Linked DNA regions of Nothobranchius furzeri. The protein of the gene in region 1 interacts with the protein of each later gene in a biochemical or structural test. Links are inferred from orthologs where the notes say so. Each region holds a gene or a part of one and is shown on either strand. Other genes may lie near its edges.

Region 1 (7,650 bases):
TCCTCTCTCAGCTTGTTGTACCCTGGATGAAAAACCATGAACGCAGTTTGGGAACTTTTGACATGAACGATTCAAGTTTATCTTGGAATTGTTGCCAAATCCTTGGTTTGAATCTTAATAGTTTGGCTCTGCTGTCAACCCGTGCTTCCTCTAAAAAGGCTGGGCAGCATTTGAACAGGTGAGTTTGGGTTTAGCCTTGCGGTGGTGAAGGGTAGTTGTATGCTAGGGTTTAAGGAATTCCAAAGTGAGGGGTCAGATCTGCTGAAATCGACTCCTCGTGGTGACCAGACCAGCAGGGGTTTGTGCAGGTTGGTGGTAGCTGAGAGAGCGTGTGAGAGGGTGTAGACACGTGAGCTGCGAGAGATATAATGGGGCTGCATGGTGGCGCAGTGGTTAGCACTGTTGCCTCGCAGCACGAAGGTTGCAGGTTCAAAACTCGGCTGTGGCCTTTCTGTGTGGAGTTGCGTGTTCTCCCCACGCATGCGTGGGTTTCCTCCGGGTACTCTGGTTTCCCCCACAGATCACAACATGCCCTATAGGTTATAAATTGTAAGTCGCTTCGGATAAAAGCGTCTGGCAAATAAATAAACATATAAGGGGGTGTGTTTGTAAATGGCCTCATATGTTAGGAGTAAATTTTATTGATAGCCAATGAAGCTGCTGGATACCAGGGCTGATTTTTGCGATGATGTGAGAACCAGGACCTAATCTCTGCAAGGCATCAGTGAGTGAGGAAGGTGGAATCATTGTAGATGCTGCAGCTGAAATATAAAATTGAGCATCATCAGCGTAACAGTAAAAACCGCTGTTGAAAGATTGAACCCAAAGTGGGCAGTCAAATTATGCTGCCCTCACAACACGTGTCTGTGTGCTGCTAGACAGCTAGCTAACCATGAAAGAAAACTCCACGCACAAGGCTTGTTTTTCTTGATTTAGTGAAGCTTTCTTACATTACACACAAATGATTGTTCGTTTGGTAACTGTAACATACAAAAAAAAGGAAAGGGCATTTACTAAATATGCATTATACTAAAACAGTTAGCTAGCCAGCACACATGACATTGCAGTGTAACGAACAGATAAAGAATCCAATGCAAATAATATTCCTAAAATCTCTGAAAGTTCTAAACAGGTGCTTAAAGAGCAAGTCACCACCAAATCACCTTTTTTTCTGATAAACTATAAGTGTGTGTCTAATTGTGCTGCAGACACGTGTAGTCAATAGGTTTGCACTTTAGTGCATTTTAGTTAAAACTTAAATTTTCTGCCTAAAACTGTCAGTGTTGTGCCGTTGTCAGGTAAAAACTCTTCACTGCAGTTGAATTTAAATCTGCCATCGCTATTGGCTAAGAGGTACCCTAGAACGTTAGCTGGTACCATATGATGTCACAATGTCGTTGTGAGCCTGTGTGTATTTGTTAGTGGCTCTGCCCTCTCGGTCTGCTAGGCAACAGCATACTCCTTAACATATATTTAACCAACTATGAACTCATGTAATTTTAACTAACTTATAAACCTTATAAATTATAACTGTTTTTGACCCAAAGACATGGCATAAATTATGAAGAGTAGGGGGCCGAGGACAGATCCTTGAGGAGCCACAGATACAGCACGAGTAGTAGTGGAGGTAAAATTGTTCAACTGAATTAATGATTTGAACCAATAGTTAATTAATTATGGGGAGAATGAAGTCCGAGACGGCTGACAACTCTCTCATCTTTATTAAGTCTTCCGTTTTCCCAATTTATTGTACTTTCTTGCCTTTTTATGCATGCTCAGAATGTTAGATTCTCTTTTTAGTAATTTCAGTAACAATTTGGTGGCCAACACCTACAGAGTTGTCTCATTTTTAATCCCACAGGAACTAAACAGAGAATTCTGGAAATCAGCAATGCCTATGAGGACGTTTGTTTCCCGTTCTATGATACTCGGAGTTCCTGCAACTCCTTAATTAGTTTTTTGATCAACTAAAAGAAATTACCAGTTTTGTCATTTGCATGACGACTATGTGAAAGGTCCACTGAGCCAAAACCATTCTCCTTATTTACAGCTTAGTTGTTTTATCGTCTGCAGAGATAAACAGAACAGGATGGATTCATAACCACAACAGTATCTTAGTTTCATCAGTTGCATTTTGTGATTAAAATTATTTTTAACTCAACTGTGATGCATGAGGAGGGATAAGCCTGGCCTGTCTGGTGGGGTCGTGGTTTGAAATGGTGTTTTTTTTGTTGTTGTTGTTGTTTGTTTTGTTTCTTGCATTTACTGTAATAAAATGTCCCAACCAGGAAAAAAACATCAGTCAGGAATCACGGCTAGAATGAAAGCAAATATCTTACTTTGCTGGAAGGCTTGAAGCTCCTGATTAGCCAAGGAGAGCTTCTTGCGCTCGTCTTCCAACGTGCGGGTCTTCCTGCTGAGTTCGGCGTTCTGAAGGGTCTTGACTTTGGTGTGCTGCTGCAGTTTCATCACCTCACTCATCAGAAACTGGGTCAGACCCTCTTGACCCTCCTCCACTGATTAGAAGAAACAGGAAACAGAAGGAGAACATGGGTGCATCACAGTTTGTGAGAAATGCACTTCTTAAAGCTAGAAATCTGACCCCAACCATTACCGGCGAGGCACCGCCAACACACGCTGCAACTGGTTTGATCTGTTACATGCTCTTAGATTGCTCTGTCAACCCAAAAGTGTGTGGGCCTTACCTACGATGGTGGAGAAGCATCTTGTGGGCTCTTTCCCAGTCACCACCTTGTACATCTCAGGGTAGTAAAACTCCAGACTCTCCAAGAAAGCCACATAGCCACGCTCTTCTTTAGTGCGAAGGATGTCAAGTAGACGGCCTGGTGCAAGTTTGATTAGTGCACTTTATATTCAGCACAGGAACACATCGAGTTAAAGACCAAGTTCACTTGTTTTTCAACACATTTGCAGCAGTCTCAAGTATAAATTAACGTCCCGTGAATCGATCTCTGTGGGGAAAAGCTCTCACACTCCTGTTTCAGGAAGTAGAAGTGAGCTAGAGGAGAGGTGAGCAGACGACGGTAGGGTTTGGAGACATATATCCCGATATTCTGACATCTCGCCTCTGATTGGCTAACAGATGTACAACTCTTCCACCGCCTTTGTTCGCTCTTCTTTCTGAGCTAAAACACGCAACGCTGATGTGTTGTTTCCTGATATTCTGACACCTCGCTTCTGATTGGCTACTGACGCTACCACCGACTCCGTTTACTGCAACACTGATGTTTTATCTCCACAAACAACACAAACCTGAATGATTTCTGCCATGTTGTGGAGTTGCTAATGCTAACGGTTAGCTTCTATTAGCCATAACACACTCTGCCCTCTCCTTGGCAGGAAATCGACACAGTCTTCCCCGTCGCAAGCTATGATGGGTGAGTCCATGATTGCTAATAGTCAGTATGACATGAATTAGCCTGGGTTTTCAAAGCCGAGCAGTTTTTTTTTTCTATTTTCAATCTGTTTCTCAGTGAACTTTGTCTTTAATTTAATGGCAGAAGTAGTTGAAATAAGTTAAAATCAAACCAGTGTTAACACAGCTTGTTTTAATGCAGGAAAATGGAGATTTCTGCTCACTTGTGCGGTTTGCTTTGGTGTGGAGCAGCAGGGAGTTGAGAATCTCATCCTCATCCTGTTCATCCAGGACTTTGCACTGACGGAGGTAGGGGGTAAGCTTGGCTGGGGTGATGACGCGACACAGCTCGTAGCGCTTACACTCCACTCTGTCCCACAGCACATCCATGTCCTCCACCGTCTCATTCTCCATCCCACACAACCTGAGAGTTGGTAAAGCCACCGATTCATTCAGCAGAATTGTCGTTGCATGCTAATGCTGCACAGGTGCTTCATGTTTACTGGTTTTTCACTCATGCTGAGGAAGTTCTCACTAACCCTTGCCGTTTCTTTTCATTTCCTAACGTTAATGTCCTTTGAGCACAAAAAAATGCACCTACAAAGCTTCCCATAGAAATAGTATTTAATATTTCATACGTCCCAGTTTTTTTGAATTTCATCCTTGGCTTCAGCCCTAACAAAATATAATAAAATATGTGTGTTCCTCAGATTTAACCCCTTTATTGCCAGGTTTATTATCATAACTAGAACTTTGAAAACTGTAAAAAAAAATCTAATCATTTTTGGTGTGTTATGTCCAGATGATCTTTTTTGTGGGTAAGTTGTCACAGCCTTGGAGTGTCACAATGTCATGGTCTGCGTCTGCGTCTCCCCTCATGTGTCTCCTTGTGTTCTCCGTCCCTCACTAGGTTCACCTTTTGTGTCTCCTAGCGCCCTCATGTGTCCTTGTCTGCGTCTTCCTCTTGTGTCTCCTGGTTTTCCCCATTTGCCCCCAGATCTTCAGCCCTCTAGGTTTCCCTCCTCAGGCATCCCCCTCCCAGGTCCTGTGCTCCCTTGGCCCCCTTTAGTCACGTCCCTGTAGTTTTTCTTTCTGTAGTGTTTTCCTGTAGTTTCAGCTTCCCCCTTAGAATATTAGTTATGTTTGCTGCCCTTCTGGTCTTTAGGGTTTTCCCTTAGGTCATTTTCCTTTAGCTACAGCTGTTCATGTTATTAGTCTCTTTAGTGTGTTTTTCCCATCGGTGTTTGAGGTTTTTCTCCCCCCTTAGATTATGTTTCCTACTCTTCTTGTCTTTAGGTTTTATTCTTAGGTCATGTTAGTTTCCTCCCTGATTAGTAACTCAGTTCACCTGGTCTCTCTCTCCCCACACACCTGCAGTTCATCTCCCTCTCATCCTCCCCAAGGTATAAAACCCTGTCTGTGTAACAGTGTTTGGTCAGTCCATTGTTGTCAGCGTTGTTTTGTTCCTTGTCTCTAGCTTTTGTGCTCTATGTGAGCTTTCATTCTCCAGGGTTTCAGGACATTGATTTTTGGCTTCCTGCCCTTTTGGAATTTTTTGTTCTACTTCCTAATAAAGGAATGTTTTCATTTACATCCACTCCTGCCTCATGTTGTTCTGGGTGTCTGCATTTTGGGTCCAAACCTCCTCCTGACTCGCAACGTGACACACAAATAAGCATAAAAATATTTTTGCTCACTTTGTAGTTTTTGTGTGATGTCATATTTTCTAAAATACGCACTGTTAAAGTCCTTTGAGCACAAAAAAATGCATTTACAAAGATAGCCAGTTGAACACTTATTTATAGCACAAGAACAAAGAAAAAGTGTGTGTGTGTGTGTGTGTGTGTGTGTGTGTGTGTGTGTGTGTGTGTGTGTGTGTGTGCATATATCTGTTAATGCTTATAAACTGTTATGGGAATTTGGGGTCATGTTGTAAAGCACTTTGAGTGGCAGTTTGCTTGAGAAGCGCTTTCTACATAAAATCTTATTGAGTGATTGATTGATAACTAATGAGGAGTCTTTCACATCACTGTGGAGATGTTTGTCTCTTACAGAGTTGTTGTAATTCAGCCACACTGGCAGCTCTTCCAGCATGAATGGCCTGTTTAAGGTCAAAGGTCACATGGTCAGATGTTCTGGATGTTCTGGTAGAGAACATACTTTATGGTTGCATCAGCTACGGCACATAAGATAAGATAAGACACATCTTTATTGTCATTGTCACTTTTTCCAGGTGCACTGCAAACGAAGGTGCGGTTGACTCACAAGCATAAAACCAATGAAATCAAAAAAGGGATAAAACCAGAATAAAAAGTCTGCAGGTATATACAGATTGCACATATTTTATAAAAGCTCTGTGCAGCTGACCTGTGGTCAGTGTTCCCATCTGCGTTGGTTATTCAGAAGCTGATCCTAAGACGGCTCTGTATCTTCTCTCAGATGGGAGCACTGCCCGGGCTGTAATGGATCCTCTGAGATGTCTGTTCCTCTCCTGCAGCAACGGGGGGGTGTAGATGTCTTTCAGAGTAGGAAGGGTGCAGCCAATTGTTCTCTCTGCTGCGCTGATGGTCCTGTGGAGTGCTTTCTTTTCCAAGGAAGTACAGCTGCCATTCCATACACACACAGTCCGTTTGTCAGTGTACTCTCTCCGGAACAACGGTAGATGGCAAGCAGCAGATTTGTGGGAAGGTGGTTCTTATTCAGGATTCTCAGAAAATACGACCTCTACTGCGCCTTCGTCACCAGCTCCTTGGTGTTTGCACTCCAAGTCAGGTCATCCTCCAACTTAATGTCTAGAAACCTCTCCATGCTGCCCTCCTCCCCAGGAAATCGATAACGAGCTCCTTCGTTTTCGTGGTGTTGTAGAGCAGATTATTGACTTTGCACCACTGACATTTGCTCGACCTCCTCTCTGTAGGAATGCTCACCCTCTTTGCTGGAGATTAGCCAGATCAACGTTGTGTCATCCACACACTTTATGATCTTGTTCCTCTCGTGGGTGGGGACGCAGTCATGTAGAGGGTCTAGAGGAGTGGGCTGAGCACACAGCCCTGTGGTGTCCTGGTCTTGAGACTCAGCTGCTGAGGTGTGGGGACCCAGCCTTGCCCTATGAGAGCAACCTGCCAGAATGTCCAGTATCCAATTGGATGTTGGTGATTTGAGACCCAGATCAGATAGTTTGGACACCAGTCGAGCTGAAATCCACAAAGAGCATTCTGGCATAGCTCCCCTGCTGCTCCAGGTGGGTCAGGGCAGTGTGAAGAGCCATGGCCACAGCGTCCTCTGCAGATCTCCTTGCTCGTAGGCAAATTGGAAGAGGTCCAAGTCTGCTGGCATGACTCAATGATGTGACTGCACCAGTTTCTCAAAGCACTTCATCACAACTGATGTGAGTGCTACTGGCCGGAAGTCACTCAGGCTGTTTTTCATGGGGTTTTTTGGGCAACGGAACAACGATGGAGGACTTTAAGCAAGATGGTACAATAGCCTGGGACAGGGATTGGTTGAAGATCCAGGTAAAGATTCCAGCCAGTTGATTTGCACAGTCCTTTAAAGAAAGTCAGTTCTACCCAGGACGGCATTTAAAACCGAGCAGTACTCCCTTCCGTACGGGGAACAATTGCCGCGTTATGCTATGGTGAAAAAAAAAACGACCTGAAATAAAAAATGCTTAGTTTGGCTCTGAAGTAAGAAAATAATGAATACTGATTAGTTGTATAATTTTTGGTCCACTTTTGATCAAAGTTAATGAAATACCAGCATTTCCTTCTGTGAAACGACGAAAAATGTTTATTTTTCATCAAAACAGAGCTATTAGGCAACCCTACTTTTATTTTGATAGCGGGTTAGCTAATTAGCATTTTGAGGGATCGTGTAAAAAACCCAAATATACACAGCAAATTTTACCGCCAATTATTTACAATAACAGACAACTTTATGTCTTTATTTGTGTTTCTGATCTAAAACACAGTTATGAGCTTTCTCCTCTGCCGTTTAGAGTATAATGGTTCGCGGTGCAATGCATTATGGGATACACAGAATGATACATTAATGCATCCTTGATACAATGGGTCAAGCAAGAACAGGGTTGGCTTGGGCCGTCGTTGAAGATGATTCACAACGACGTGAGTACACAAGCTCAGACGAGTATGCATGATTAGAAATTATTTTTGTGTTGATTTTGGTCAGTTGAGGTTTCAGAAGGCCATTTTTTCCCCTTGTCACATGACCTTTGACATTAACTTTAAAGTAACAGTGTGTATTTTCCCCAGCAA
Region 2 (7,650 bases), on another chromosome or scaffold:
TCTTAAAAATAAAACAGTAAAAACTGTGAAAAACGCTGGCAACGAAGGGCTTTAGCGATCAGGAAACGGCTGGCATCAAATGAGTTAAGAAGCTGTACCGCCTTGAGTCACGTAAAAATGTGACTCAACGTGATACATGTGACAGCCCCATCTAGTGGACAACCTTTGTATCTGCGTATACCAGTAGTTATCGTCCATTTATCGTTATCGAGGTAAAATCCTCAATATGTTGATTTTAGACCATGTCGCCCAGCCCTAGTCCAGGGTGTCCTCCCACCTCTCGCCCAGTGACTCCTGGAGTTAGATACCAGCTCACTGCCAAACTATGGAATAAATATTTCAGTAGATGAATGGATGAATGTACTCTCAGTGGCCTAGTGGTAGAGAGTCCGCCCTTGGACTGGGAGATTGGACTTCAAATCCCAGTTGGACCACACCAAAGACCCATTGCCTCCTTGCAACACTCAGCTTTAATGGGTTGGATTGGGGGGTTAAACCACCAAATAGTTCCCAAGTGTGGCCACAGCTGCAGCTCACCACTCACCACGAGGATGGGTCAAATGCAGATATGAATGTTACCAGTGTGTGATGACTAATGGGACTTTAACTTTCCTAATTATCGTTATGACTTGATTACACATAAACAGAGTTGTAGGAGCCCTGAAAAGGTCTTTTTAGATAATGGCTAAAAAGAAACCTTGTTTTTTTGTGGAGTGGTTAAAAATGGTTTAATGAAAGTTTTATGCACATATTCCACACTTATTGTTGATTTTGTGCATATTGAGTTCCAGCACCACACAGGTCTGGCATAGTCACTAAAGTTGTTTGGGTTGTTTTCAGGTGGATTGACTCACACTTCCTAAGTCCTACTTACTTGTTTACTTACTAACTTCCTTACTCACCTAACTACTCGTAAACTCACCTGAACACTTTCTTATAGCTACTTAATTACTTACTTTTCAGTTTTATTTTTAACGCATCCGTTTATGAATGTTCAAAAGAGCAGAGCAAACTTTTTTTTTAAGTGAATGAAGTCTAAATGACACTCTGGGTCAAAACATCTTGAATGTTGCATGTGAAGGTTACTGTGTGATGCACAGAGGGCTTCTCTCTGAGCGCTTTACCAGACAGCAGCTGGCAGGGCTGATGGATGGGCAGGCGATGAGCCGATGATGGAGAAACCCGCAGGTCACTTTGAGAGGAAGAGCTTAGCTGGTTTTATTGTTGCAGTGCTGGGAGGCCATGTGGCTTTTATGCAAGCGGACCAAAAACGCTGCTGGGCTATAACCCTGTTTATCTGTCACTGGTTTGATGGATGAATTTTCAAAGTGTCAGAATGAGCTTGTGACTCGTGACCACACAAGTTTTTCATAAATTACATTCATAATTTGGTTTAAATGCCATGAAGTAAATAAAAAAATTACCACGATGCACCTGTTTCAGGAACTAGCAGAGTGCCACATCAGAGTTGAGCAGAACACGACAAGATTTGGAGTCTTACTTCCTGATATATGAACATCTCTCCACTGATTGGCTAACAGCAGCATGACTCTACCACCGACTCTGTTTGCTCTGCAACGTTGATGTTTTAACTCCACAAATAACACAAGCCTGGAGGAGTTCTGCTGTGTGTTGGAGTTGCTAATGCTAACGTTAGCTTCCACTAGCTGAAACGTTCTCTGCTGTTTCCTGGACGCTAAACCAACAACAGCCTTCCCCGTCGTGAGTCCATGAATGTTAAGTGGCAGTGTGACGTGGATCTGTCGGGCTTCTCTAATCCTAGAGTTTCATCAGAAGCTAAAGCAGGAGATAGGTGTAGGAGACTATTTTCATGTTCAGCCTGAATGAAAAACTCAGAGTGACCCGTTATGATCAGAAATAACAAAAAAAAAAAAAGTCAGTGTTCCACACCTTCAAGTGGAAAATATGTGAAAATTTTGTTTTAAACAAATCTGGACACTTAATCTTTTTATTTATATATATATATATATTTTTCGTTTTTAACTCATGCTGGTTGTTTTGGTCAAATTGTACAGAAGCATATCAGAGCAGGGAAAAATAAAGAACATTCTCTTGTATTAGAGAGAACATTTCTTTTATTATTTAAAGATAATAAAGCACATTACTAAGCATCTCATCAAAACAAGTTTAACATCTCGTAATAATGCGAACACTTGTAGGTAAAACGGCGACATTTCGCGGGATGTTTGCTCCTTTTGACAAGTTATTGCTTGTTTTCCACACTGATGGAAAAACACTTCTGTAATTATGGCAGTTTCTGTTTAGCAGAATATAAAATCTCGGTAACACTTAAGTTTAGGGAACACAAATTAACCATTAATTAGCTGCCAATTAAGAAACCTAGTGAACTACCAAGTCTGAACTAGTCATTATTAAGCACTTATTAACAGCTTATTACTAATGCCGTAATTCTAACATTAACAGGCCATGAATTAAGAGTTTTACAATAATAAGCCATTCATAATGGTTTGTTAACTGAAAGTAAATGGTTTGTTGCTGATTAACGTACTAATTAGCTCAAATCAATATGTGGCTTTTAAAGAAGTAATTCAGGGGAACATATTCTTGCCTTTCAGTGTTTAATTAATACAGAACTACTAGTAATTAGGTATGAACACAATCTGACTTTAGAATGGGGAACATGTTCTTGCTTTCAAGTGGTTAATTGATTGTGGCTCTATTATGTTTATGTTTATGTATTTAGCAGACGCTTTTGTCCAAAGCGACTTACAATTATAATCGGCATGTTGCCCTTGAGGTTAAAAACAACAATAACAACAACTTCTTGACATAAATCATGGAGAGGAGGGAACAAGGAGTGGACAGTAGAGAGGGGGGACGGGTGCAGGGAGGGTGCTAGTTTAGAAGATGCTCTCTGAAGAGCAGGGTCTTCAGGAGTTTCTTGAAAGTCGAAAAGGAAGCCGCTGCTCTGGTGGTGCTTGGAAGGTCATTCCACATTTGTGGAACGATGCATGAGAAGAGTCTGGATTGTCCTGAGCGTGGTGTAGGCACTGCTAGCCGACCATCCTGTGATGACCGGAGCGGCTGGGCCGAGACGTAAGCCTTTGCAAGAGGATTCAGGTAGATGGGAGCCGTACCATCTCGGACTTTGTATGCTAGTGTTAGCAATTTGAATTTGATGCGTGCTGCTAGCGGTAGCCAGTGGAGCTCAATGAACACAGAGGTGACGTGTGCTCTTTTTGGCTGATTGAAGACCAGACGCGCCGCTGCGTTCTGGACCATTTGAAGAGGTCTCACAGTACAGCCTGGAAGACCAGTTAGAAGAGCATTGCAGTAATCGAGGCGGGAGATGACAGTAGATTGCACCAGGAGCTGGGTGGCATGTTGTGTTAGGTATGGTCTGATCTTTCGTATGTTGTACAGCGCAAAGCGGCATGAACGAGCAACAGAGGCAACATGATCTTTAAAGGCCAGGTGTTCATCAATCACAACACCCAGATTTCTAACTGCCTTTGAAGGAGCCAGAGATAGGAAGTCATGTGAAGTTTGTTGTTCATGTACATAATACCAGAACATAATATTTTTGGTTATTAATGCAGAATAATGATTACCCCTGAATTACTTCTTTAAAAGCCACATATTGATTTGATCTAATTAGCATGTGCGTTATAATCAGCAACAAACCATTTACTTTCAGTTAACAACCCATTATGAATGGCTTATTGTGATAAAAAAAATCCTAATTTGTGGCCAGTTAATGTTAGAATTGTGGCATTAGTAATAAGCTGTTAATAAGTGCTTAATAATGACTAGTTCAGACTTAGTAGTCCACTAATATGCATATTAATTGGCAGCTAATTAATGGTTAATTTGTGTTCCCTAAACTAAAGTGTTACCTAGATTTTATTTGTGCTTGTTTTTACAGAAGTAGAAACAGAATATTTGTGTCTTTGGATTTAGATTTCTTTCATGTTTGTCTCTGTAGGTTTTACTGAAGTGAAAGTGAAATCTTAATTCCTGCCTTTTGCTGAGTTCTGACAGTAAGGACGAGCTTTCTCGTTGCAGACAAAGGTCAAGTGTACAAGCAGAAGAAGCCCACCATGTACCCACCGTGGAGCACCACCTTCGATGCCCACGTGCACCCCGGACGCATCATGCACGTGATGGTGAAAGACCGGACGGCAGAGCTGAAGTCGGAGGCCACAGTGGCTCTGGACTCACTCGCCACGCGCTGCAAGAAGGAGAACGGCAAGCTGGAGATCTGGGTTGGTGCAGCAGAATCTGAGTTTTTAACACATTTGATAAATCCAGATGGGTTTGCTCACGTTGGGATCAAAAGGTCAAATGATGAAAAGAGGGTAATCCTCATTTTAGGTATTAAAAGCAAACACATCATCACTTTATCTGCACTGCACAGACATAAAGAGGTTTAATCCACTATGTCAAGATCTGTCAACAACATGAGATTATTCAGACCTGGAAATCTGCCTTGACTTCCCTTTTCCTGTGAAACTAAGGACACCGAATGACTCAAGGATGATGATTCACTGTTGAATGACAAGAATTAAACTTCTAGTGAACAACCTACACAGCGATTTTAGGAAAATGTAAAGTGCATCCTTTTTTAACACCTTGTCAGGAATATTCAGGGGTCAGAAACCAATTCAGTTTATTTCTATTGTGCCAATTCACAGAACAGGTATGGATTCACGTTTTACTAAACGCCTTTAACCGGTTATTCACGCCCCCTAGGGGCTAGTTGTCTGGGGGGGTTAGCTGGAATCTAACCCCCCCAGACAACCCAACGATATCTCAGATTTATAATACCATACCATACCATAGTTTATTTATACAGCACGTTTAAAACGCAGCATGGGAGCTGTCTAAAGTGCAGCACAGGCTAAACCAAAACACAACCACTCTAAGCACCTAAAGCAGAAGATAAAAATACCGATCAAAAGCAGATAAAACATGAGGAATACCAACAACACAATAAAACACTAAAACGAGTCTGAAAGCCACGTCGTAGAAGTGGGTCTTTAAACGAGATTTAAAACCCGCCAGTGATGGAGCCTGCCAAACTATAATGGGTAACGAGTTCCACCGCTTTGAGGCAGCATGTACAAATGCTCGTTCACCCCGTGATTTGTATCTCATCCGGGGCGTGCACAGCAGCAGGAGGTCAGCCGACCTCAACGTGCACGTGGGTACATAGGGAGTGAGCAGGTCAGAGAGATGGGGAGGCGCCAGGTCGTTGAGTGCTTTAAATACAAAAGTCAATAACTTCAACTGTACTCGGAGAATGACAGGGAGCCAGTGAAGAGGTTCCAGGACAGGGGTAATACGGGTACGTTGGTACGTATTTGTCAAGAACCTGGCAGCAGCGTTCTGGGCGACCTGCAGCCGATTCAGGGCAGAGACCGGAACACCGACTAGGAGGGTGTTTGCATAGTCCAGGCGAGAGGTAATGAAGGCATGGATGACTGACTCAAAATGCCTCCGTTCCAAGATTGGTCTGAGGCGAGTCAGGCGGCAAAGCTGATAAAAGCAAGACCTCACTACGGAGTTTATCTGTGGGGCCATTGAGAGTTCAGCATCCAGCTTTACCCCGAGACTTGTCACACACTGTTTGGGGTTGAACGTTAAAAGGTCACAAACAGGGTGAGAGCCATGATGGTTGCGGGGGTCAAAAACAATAGACTCGGTCTTCCTTTCATTTAACTTTAAGAAATTGGATGCCAGCCAGCCCTTCACATCGTCTAAACATGCAGCCAATCGCGAGCCCGCAGTCTCCTCATCCATTGCTGCATATAATCGACAGTCATCAGCGTAAATGTGATAGCTCAGGCCGTGCTAATCTGAGTGATACAGAGGTGCTTCTGAGCAGACCAGAGCGTTCTTAACACACCACACACGGCAAGAGTACCTGATGAATTCTCTTGTTCTATGATATCTTAGAGTCAGTTAGCTCGTGAGCAGCTTAATGTTGCCTGATGTTGTTGTTGCCTTTAATTATTTCTGTTTTTTCTTTTCCTAACGGTGTATTAATGTTGTGTTCTGTTGCTGTAGTGTGGAAGAGGGACGTCAGATCTGATCACATGACAAATTCAATCTACAGATTCAACAAACCTTCAACCGTTAGAGCTGTTACAGAAGTCAGACTTATCTTTAGGATTGTCGGACGAAGAATCACGTCAATAATCTGCATAAATGTGTGGCCTGTGATCTGAATCTAACAACTTTAGCCTGTGGGAGGAAACTGGAATACCCCCCATGTGCTGGGGGAGAACCCAGGGGGCCACAGACGGGACTTGAACCTGCAACCTTCTTGCTGTGAGGCAACAGTGCTGCCACTGCTCTTCCTATTCTCACTCACTAACTATAATGTTTCAGATGAAGACAGGAGTCAGGCACCTCTATAAAGGTTGTGGAAAATCAACATTGTCAGCAATCGCACAGCTCACCTAACCAAGAGTCCAAAGTAAATTCTGTCAGCAGTAAAGCCTTTTCCTGTGGAGCTTGGCATTCGGTGCCTACCCGCAGCTGTCTTCTCTTTCTAACCCAGAATCAAACAAACATTGTAAATAGAGGACTAAAATCAGCTCCACGTTACTCCTTCTGTGGGTGTTTTCTTTTGCCAGCTGCTGGCTCTGTTTCAGCTCAGCATGAGCCACGTCCTTATCTTTTAGATTAAAGTTCTCTCTTATTTTTCTCATTCGTTTGCATTTTGTTTGGTTCCAGCTGGAGATGAAGCCACAGGGCCGCCTGCTGATGGAGGCCAAATACTATCTGGAGAAAAGTGGTGAGCGATGCAAACGAAATGTTGGTTTTATTCATATTCAGTGAAATTATTAGAGCTGACGTAATTTTGGTGTGAGATTTTTGTTTTGGAATATAGAAAAAGAATCTAAAGGAATTAGATCAAATGATGAAATATAGTGAGTGGGTTTGCACGCTGTTGACTAGCCTCCCTTATCCTACGTGTTCTCACATGGCAGATAAGACCTTTGACCTTCTCCCGCCTGCTGCCTCCAAGCATTGTGACTGGTCATTTGAGCTCTTTATTTTTTTCCACTGGTACTTTCCTGACATTAACATCAAGCCAAAGGTCTGAGAACTCCCAGCAGCTACAGAGAAGAAGCCCTTTCACTGCTCTATATTTAGCAGATCGGGAAATCGGTGCTGAGAAGACGAGCGCCGTGTGTCAGGAACTTCCTCCCACATCCAGATGTTTGCAGAAGTTGATAAAAACAGATGTGTTGCGTTACCCATCAGTGCTGCTGAGTGGATTTGGGGAAGATTTATTAACATAAACATCAACCTCCCAGTTCTAATTCCCCGAGCTAATGATATGCAGATGTGTGACAGTGTGATTTAAATGAGGAGCTTGTGTTTTAGATGAATTAGCAGTCTTGTTTTGTGATTTTGCTCAAACATCCTGAGAAGCGTGGCGTGGTAAAGATGGCTGACTCACAGAGGCATGCGTAGCGAGCACTTCTCACTCTGCTGAAGAAGGTGAGAGTCTGAAACCGTGGTGTGAAGGCGGATCACTGAAGCGGCGCCGTGCTGTGTTTCAGACACTGCAGGTCAGACTGACGCTGACCCGGAGTCTGATCGGGGCCGAGACGGTCTGTTCACCCTTCATCAGCGACGCGGTGCCATCAAGCA

Evidence for each region. The genes of interacting proteins can lie anywhere in the genome.
Region 2: of the proteins of card11 (region 1) and prkcq, one has a biochemical effect on the other in vitro, tested with the Homo sapiens proteins (2 studies listed by BioGRID). The link is inferred for Nothobranchius furzeri from reciprocal best matches to the Homo sapiens genes CARD11 and PRKCQ.

What each region holds. Positions count from the first base shown.
Region 1 is NC_091752.1:65,220,224-65,227,873, forward strand, and holds part of card11 (caspase recruitment domain-containing protein 11), read right to left. Parts: intron 5,833-7,650; exon of another isoform or gene 5,744-5,832; intron 3,984-5,743; exon of another isoform or gene 3,801-3,983; 5' UTR 3,791-3,800; coding exon 3,601-3,790; intron 2,844-3,600; coding exon 2,706-2,843; intron 2,517-2,705; coding exon 2,340-2,516; intron 23-2,339; coding exon 1-22. UniProt on the Homo sapiens protein: Adapter protein that plays a key role in adaptive immune response by transducing the activation of NF-kappa-B downstream of T-cell receptor (TCR) and B-cell receptor (BCR) engagement.
Region 2 is NC_091741.1:35,672,097-35,679,746, reverse strand, and holds part of prkcq (protein kinase C theta type), read left to right. Parts: intron 1-4,047; coding exon 4,048-4,247; intron 4,248-6,723; coding exon 6,724-6,784; intron 6,785-7,559; coding exon 7,560-7,650. UniProt on the Homo sapiens protein: Calcium-independent, phospholipid- and diacylglycerol (DAG)-dependent serine/threonine-protein kinase that mediates non-redundant functions in T-cell receptor (TCR) signaling, including T-cells activation, proliferation, differentiation and survival, by mediating activation of multiple transcription factors such as NF-kappa-B, JUN, NFATC1 and NFATC2.